2 linked regions of the Macaca fascicularis genome follow. The protein of the gene in region 1 interacts with the protein of each later gene in a biochemical or structural test. Links are inferred from orthologs where the notes say so. Each region holds a gene or a part of one and is shown on either strand. Other genes may lie near its edges.

Region 1 (3,579 bases):
CCCTCCTCCAGTCCCACGGGACCAGTTCTGGATCCTCCATGCCTTCGCTGCCTCCTGCCCTCACTCTCGTGGTGGATCTGAGCTTCAGAGCCCATATTCACCACCAGGATGTTGCAGGACCGTGCCTTATACCCAGTTCTGACCTACCATTGTACCCAACAGGGCAACATGGCAGTGACAGTGACCTACGGTGGGGACCCTGTCCCCAAGAGCCCCTTTGTGGTGAATGTGGCACCCCCGCTGGACCTCAGCAAAATCAAAGTTCAGGGCCTCAATAGCAGTAAGTGGGGCAAGAGCCACCCTGGGAGTGAGGGGTGTTCGGGTGGGGTGGACCGGAGTCTCCTCATGGTGTCACTTGTCCTCCACGCAGAGGTGGCTGTGGGACAGGAACAAGCATTCTCTGTGAACACACGAGGGGCTGGCGGTCAAGGCCAACTGGATGTGCGGATGACTTCGCCCTCTCGCCGGCCCATCCCCTGCAAGATGGAGCCAGGCGGCGGAGCGGAAGCCCAGGCTGTGCGCTACATGCCCCCGGAGGAGGGGCCCTACAAGGTGGACATCACCTACGATGGTCATCCAGTGCCTGGCAGCCCCTTTGCTGTGGAGGGTGTCCTGCCCCCTGATCCCTCCAAGGTGAGGAGATAGGAGCTGGTTGGGGCTGGGAGCTGGGGACTTGTCGGGAAGCTGGAAGAGTCATAGGGGGCAGAGGCCAGAGGGACTTATGTGCCTGGAGTGGGCACAGCCAAGAACGTGGGACTGAGACCAGCCCCACCCCACCACCTTCCTTGGAGACAACTTAGCTATTAAGAGCCTGGCCTTGGAGTCAGACCTGGGCTTGAATCCCAGGTCCACTACCTGGGGAAATTGCTTCATCTCTCTGCCTCCATGTCATCACCTGGAATTGTTATAAGCACTCAGTCTGCAATAGCAGCCACAGTTGGAGGTGATGAGTTGGGTGGGGGCCATGAAGGCTGGGATGGGAAGGCCGGGTGCAGGGAACCCACACACCTGCCTCTTCCCCTAGGTCTGTGCTTACGGCCCCGGTCTCAAGGGTGGACTGGTAGGCACCCCCGCACCATTCTCCATCGACACCAAGGGGGCTGGCACAGGTGGCCTGGGGCTGACCGTGGAGGGCCCCTGCGAGGCCAAGATCGAGTGCCAGGACAATGGTGATGGCTCATGTGCTGTCAGCTACCTGCCCACGGAGCCTGGCGAGTACACCATCAACATCCTGTTTGCTGAAGCCCACATCCCTGGCTCGCCCTTCAAAGCTACCATCCGGCCCGTGTTTGACCCAAGCAAGGTGCGGGCCAGTGGGCCGGGCCTGGAGCGCGGCAAGGCCGGTGAGGCAGCCACCTTCACTGTGGACTGCTCAGAGGCAGGCGAGGCAGAGCTGACCATTGAGATCCTGTCGGATGCCGGGGTCAAGGCCGAGGTGCTGATTCACAATAATGCGGATGGCACCTACCACATCACCTACAGCCCTGCCTTCCCCGGCACCTACACCATTACCATCAAATATGGCGGGCATCCGGTGCCCAAATTCCCCACCCGCGTCCATGTGCAGCCTGCGGTCGATACCAGTGGCGTCAAGGTCTCAGGGCCTGGTGTTGAGCCACATGGTGAGTGGTCAGGAGGAGCCAAGTGAGGTCAAGTGGCAGGTGCAGGAGCCGGATAGTCAGTGGGAGGGAGGGAAGCAGAGCTGAGGGCTGGGGGAGCCACCTGGCATGAAGGGAGGGCTCTCAGGGCAGCCCTAAAGTCCCTACTGGCCCAGAAGCCCCAGAGAAGGAGTGGAGGGGCAGACTGGGAGTGGAGACTGGCCTCCGCTCTTGTGGCAAAACTGCACCTGCCTCTGGGCGTTTTCCTGGAGAGGTCTCTTGTTTCATGTGCTTAAGGGGTACTCTGATGCAAAAAGCTACGACTCTGCTCTGGAGGGGGGCGGGGGAAAGCTCTGGGGTAGAGGATGACAAGAGTCAGGAGACAGTAAGTGGGAATGGGCCATCTGCCGGGGCCAGACCCTGGCCAGGCATGGGGCACGGCAGAGGGATGCAAGACCCAGGCCCACAGCCTGGTGGGTGACTCACGTGAACAGAGAATGTCACTACATGGAGAAGGGAGTGAAGGCAGAGGCTGGAGCTCACGGAGGTGCAGGGGAGGGTAGGGGGCCCAGCCTCTGATCAGAGGAGCAGCCTGGGAGTTGGGGAGTGGGAGAGGAGGGGGGAGGAGGGGAAGAGGAGAAGGAGAGGAGAGGGAGAGGAGGGGGAGAGGAGAGGGAGCATCTGTGTGAAGGCTGCCCCCACCCCTGCTGAGCATGCCACCCCTGGGCTCCAGGTGTCCTGCGGGAGGTGACCACTGAGTTCACTGTGGATGCAAGATCCTTAACAGCCACAGGCGGCAACCACGTGACGGCTCGCGTGCTCAACCCCTCGGGGGCCAAGACAGACACTTATGTGACAGACAATGGGGACGGCACCTACCGAGTACAGTACACCGCCTACGAGGAGGGTGAGGGCCGGTGGAGGGCCGGGCGAGCGGGCAGGGCCGGCCTCTGATGATATTGCGCTTGGGGCAGGAGGGGTGGTGGGGGTGCACACTCCCTGATTGATGCCCCTGTGGCTGGCTTCCAGGCGTGCATTTGGTGGAGGTCCTGTATGATGAGGTCGCTGTGCCGAAGAGCCCCTTCCGAGTGGGTGTCACCGAGGGCTGTGATCCCACCCGCGTCCGGGCCTTCGGGCCAGGCCTGGAGGGTGGCTTGGTTAACAAGGCCAACCGCTTCACTGTGGAGACCAGGTATCCTCCCCATTTGCTAGCCTAAACCTGTGACCACCCTTTCCCAGCCCCTGGCCCTCCTTGCTCGTCCCTCTGTCTGTACCTCAGCCCCACCCCATCCTCTCTCTGGGGTGAGGCAGGAGCAGACCCCCCGACAGGACTCCAGATCAGCCCCTGGCTCATTTCTCCTCAGCTGGGTCCCCAGCGGCCTGCCCTCTTTCCTCCCTGTCCCCCCATTCAGCTACTCCCTCATCTTCACTCACTGGTCTTATGAAGCTGATGGGGGGGTGTCATCTCTCAGGGGAGCCGGCACCGGGGGCCTTGGCCTAGCCATCGAGGGTCCCTCGGAAGCCAAGATGTCCTGCAAGGACAACAAGGATGGTAGCTGCACTGTGGAGTACATCCCCTTCACCCCTGGAGACTATGACGTCAACATCACCTTCGGGGGGCGGCCCATCCCAGGTGTGCAGAGAGAGTGGTCGGGGCCTCAGGGAAGACAAGGGAGGATGCAGGATGCTCACCCCACAAGGGGGAAACTGGAAGGAAGTTAGATGAGAACATTCATAGAGAGGATAGCTGAGAGCAGGTCGGGGCTGGAGCCCAGCCAGAGGGAGGACGTGGAGGAGGCAGGCAGTGAGGGTTGATGCGACAGCCCCCCAGTCAATCCCAGGAACACGCTCTGGCCTCCTAGCCGCTTGCCTGGAGCTCGAGACGTCGGCTGTGCAGGTCCACTGCTCAGTGTGTGTCTGGAAACTCAGACACCGCCCACTCCTCTTGGTGGCTCAGGCCAGCCTTGGGCCTTCTTGCCCG
Region 2 (4,249 bases), on another chromosome or scaffold:
TACATCTCCTGGGTTGCTAGGGAGCAACCATGGGACAACTGGACATGACACTCTTTCCTTTAGCTCCATAAGGGATGCCTAACTGGACAGGCCCCATCCTCGCCTTCCTTTGTTAAAAATCAGTGTTGCCCTAGAAGACTCCCAGGAGAGTGGCCTGGGGGAATCCTGACTTTTGGAGTCCCAGCCTTGGAGGGACAGGTCTCTAACCTGGTGACTGATTTCCCATGGAGACGAGATTCCTTTGCAGAACACCAGAGGGCAGACTTGCCATGTTGACCTGGAGTGCTGCCTAACTTTTATCTCTTGGCTGTCAACGCACTCCAACCTTTCCCAGGCCCAAGGAGGCAAGCGGAGGCCAACAGCCCATGCTAGGGCAGAAGCAGTTGAGGATCAGGGCTGGGAAGCTGCTCATCAGATATCTCGTGGTTAGGCCAGATCCAAATTCTGAATCTCTGGTCAGGGTTTTCTGCACTATACTCCAAGACTGAGAATGTCTGAGCTAGGGGGATCTCAAAGGTCTTTTAGCACAACCATTTATAAATAAAGACGAGGGAACTTAGGCCCAGAGTCAGATCTTGGTGAATAAGTGGAAGGCAGTGCTGGCTTGGGGTCCCTAGACTCTATTTAGGGCATGGGCCCAAGACATAAGAGGGTAGGAGGTGTAAAGCTTTCTTATTGGCCATAGGACCAGTCTATTCCCCAGCAGGCACCCCTCGGAGGATATGAGGGCGACACCTACCAGGGAGAGGACCATGGGACCAGGGTCCTTTCTGCAGAGACAGCTCTGCCCCTTGCCCCTGGAGACCGCTCTCTAAGCAAGCAAGCACAGCTTCAGGGGCTCGGACTCAGGGGGGCTTCAGGCTAAGCCCTACCCCTCCCTGGCTCCACCCCCACCCCTCAATGGCCTCCCACCCCTCAAGCCCTTCTCTGGTCTCTGTCCATGTATGTCTTATCTGTCTTGTGACAGGTGTACTAACAGTCCCCAGAGGCCAGTAGGGAAAGAATGGGAAGCATGTGCCCCCTCCCGCTGCCCCTGACCCACTGCTCTGCACCACACAGGGTGCTAAATATAGCTGATGTTCTGGCCTCAGAACAGCAGCCCTGGGCTCAGAGGGAGGCTGAGGCCCAGCCAGTGGGGATCCTCAGTGCCCTTGGCTCACCTCGTCTCCTTCGTTACCCTGGGCTCCCCTATCCTGCCTCCTGGGCTGGTTTCAGGCCCCTGGGCTGCAGTCCAACCAGGTGCTAGAACCTGGACACCTTCCCTGGCCAAAGGAGTCTGCGGTGGAGGGAAGTACTGGCAGCAAGTGGGGCAGGACTTCCTCCCTATGGCTACCTCAGAAGGAGGAGAGAGGAAATCGAGACCTCCTGACCCCATGCCCACCCTGGCATGTCCACCAAAGACATCAGAACCTTTGGGGAGTGTGAGCTCTGAAACCTGTAACCTGAGTCTCATCAAAGCTCTGCGTGGTTTTCTTTCATTTCTGAGCTCCAACGAGGATCCCCTGCCCAAGGCAAACCTGTGCCTGTCTCCACCTCCACTCCATCCTGTCACCAGCAGGGTGACCTGAGCAGATGGCATGGGCAGACCATCAGCTTCACCCCACCCCCACCCCCAGGAATTTCCAGAATCTCTGCTAAGGCCACAGGCAGTTATTATCATGGAGTCCAGGGATGTCAGGCCTAAGGACCCTCAGAGATCACTCAATCTAAACCCCTTATTGTTCAAATAGGGAAACAGAGGGCCAAAGAGGGGAAAGGAGCTGTCCAAGGAGGCTCAGCAAGGCAGTAGCAAAGCCTGAAGCATGCCTCCTGACTCCTGGCCTTCTCACCACCATCCTTGCCTGGCTTGAGACTCCTGGGGCAAGTGTAGAGTCAGGACAGAATTCATAACTGGGACCAGACTTAGGTGGGGTGACCCCAAGAACTGTCCTAAACCTTGGTCTCCTAGGGCTGGGCCAACCTCTCAGGATGGTCCCACTGCTGTCCTCAGGTTACCTCCTCCTCGGCCCAGCTGGCTCCATATGTCTTTACATCTGGGCAAATTCAGATCCGGTCTCCCTCCCCTGAGCGCCCCAGATCTGCCCTGGGGGCTTTCCCACTGGGCAAGACCATGGGCAGAGTCCAAATTCCACCCCAGGTTTTAGGCTATGATATGTAGGGAGCTGGGCTCCGGCCAGCCCCTGGGAGCTATGCCTGGGCCAGATATGCCGAGAGTGTCATCCACAGCAACTAGGCATGGGGCTTGTTCTAGCAATGCACACTCAGGCCTACCTACAGCCCCTGCTCCCGCCTCTCTTCTGTTCCTCCTTCCTCCAGACCCTGGGCCTGCCTGAGGCTTCCCTGGGAGGAAGCCCCGAAGCCTGAGGCATTCCATACCTGTATTTTAAAAATCACAACTCCAGGCCTTACTGGATCATGCCAGCCTGGCAGGACCCTGTCCTTTCTGCTAGCTTCAGGCCTGTGGCAGCCACTCTGAGAGCTCCCATGGGGCTCACACTGTCTTTACCTCCTTTGTGGGTTCTTTATATCTGAGACTTCCACTCACCTCCTCCCATGCATGCCCCTCAATCTCCTTCCCCCACTCAGAGCCACCCCTAATACGTCCATTCCAGGAGGGCAGGGGATCCCAGCTGTGAACGCCAGCCCTGCCGTGGAAGGACAGAGAGGTAGGTTACTCACCGAGGGTCTCTCTTGGCTGATGGGGTGTTTGGGGTCTGTAGCAGCTGTGGTCTCAGGGTTCGTCGTTCCTCTCGAGGTTCTTGTTCAAATTGGTTCTGTTCTGCTGGCTCCAACAGACACCTTCTTGCTGCCCTGGCTCCGGGTCTCTGTCCCCTGCCAGCCCCAGCAGCTGCCTTTATCTTGCTGGCTAGTGGGTGGGCCGTGGTGGGGGCGGGCGGGAGAGGCTATGTTCAGAGTATTAAGTGGTTTGGTTATTTTTAGGTCTTGTGGAAGTCACTCTTCCATCCTGGGGAATCAATTACATGTCCTTCGGGCTGGGGAGGGGAAACAGAGGGGGAGAAGCTTCATTCATCCAGAGTCTGATCTGGGGATTGGGGTCAGTGACTCAGCTGGGTTGTGGGGTTGGGGGTGTCCCAGACTATTTTGAGAGAGTGAATAAGAAGGGGCATCTGACACCTTGGACAGCTTGCCCCCGTCTTGTGAGCCTCCATCACTCTACTCTGGTCCTGCCTCTGACTCTTCCTGACGTGTCTCCACCCACTGTGCCAGGAGACTGGAGGTCTCCTGAGGGCAGGCTGGGCCTCTCCTCCTCTGTTCTGAGCCTGAATACCTCTGAGTGTGAAGCTCAGCTCTTTTTCTTCCCCATTCCCTTCTGCACTAAAGAATTCCTTCTTTCTTATCCATTCTTCCCCGTGCCCCACAGCACAGGTCAACACGGCCCTGATAAAGCTGGATTTGGGGGGAAGACATCTGAATGACAAGGCACAGCTCTTCACTGGGCCGAGATTGGCCAGGTCCAGCTCCTCCTTTGCGCCACCATACCCGGTTAATTTTTGTATTTTTAGTAGAGATGGGGTTTTACCATGTTGGCCAGGCTGGTCTTGAACTGCCGACCTCAGGTGATCTGCCTGCCTCGGCCTCCCAATGAATGAATTCCACAGCAGGACTCCGTGGTTTTCATCCCAGATTAACTGAGTCCTTTCTCTCTTCTCGACTCTTCCCTCTGACTCAGGGCCCAGGCTTTCTGGGAACGGAGGGGAGGGGAAGGGCGGCATGCAGGGAGCTGACCGTGGGGTTATTTCTGACCCTGGAGTCATCAGCTTCCCAGTCACAGATGGAGTGGCAGCGGGGAGGGGGGTCACACCTGCCTCCTCCTTTGCTTACCAGGGTCTGAGGGGCCCAGCAGGCCCAAGAGATCCTGGCAGTCAGACCAGTGTGGTGAAGGATATCAGGGGACCATCCACAGAAAACTTGAAAGAGGTGTTTCATCCTAGGTGGGCCTGGCCCAGGCTCCATGCCTGTGGGTATGCAGGTGCATTCTGTGGCCTGGCACATGAGGTCTTCCTTCTGACTCCCCAAATGCCCTCTGGTACCAGGGGATGATGCCAGACATTGCTCACTTTTTCCATGTAGTCAACGTCAGTCCTGCAGTGGCAGCTGGAACGGGGGCGAGGACATCTGGGAACCCCTCTTCCTGGTCTCCCTCCCTCTTGTCTCTTCCCCTGCTCTTTTCTAGCCCTCTACCTGTCCCGCAGGCTCCTGGCTCTCTCCAGGAAGGGCAGGGAGACCA

What was found.
Region 2: the proteins of FLNC (region 1) and XIRP1 form a complex in vitro, tested with the Homo sapiens proteins (2 studies listed by BioGRID and IntAct, with this or other methods). The link is inferred for Macaca fascicularis from reciprocal best matches to the Homo sapiens genes FLNC and XIRP1.

Annotation. Positions count from the first base shown.
Region 1 is NC_088377.1:170,303,860-170,307,438, forward strand, and holds part of FLNC (filamin-C), read left to right. Parts: intron 1-162; coding exon 163-280; intron 281-370; coding exon 371-633; intron 634-1,024; coding exon 1,025-1,622; intron 1,623-2,331; coding exon 2,332-2,505; intron 2,506-2,627; coding exon 2,628-2,790; intron 2,791-3,070; coding exon 3,071-3,231; intron 3,232-3,579.
Region 2 is NC_088376.1:101,263,827-101,268,075, forward strand, and holds the start of XIRP1 (xin actin-binding repeat-containing protein 1), read right to left. Parts: upstream 2,831-4,249; 5' UTR 2,680-2,830; intron 1-2,679. UniProt on the Homo sapiens protein: Protects actin filaments from depolymerization. Required for correct cardiac intercalated disk ultrastructure via maintenance of cell-cell adhesion stability, and as a result maintains cardiac organ morphology, conductance and heart beat rhythm.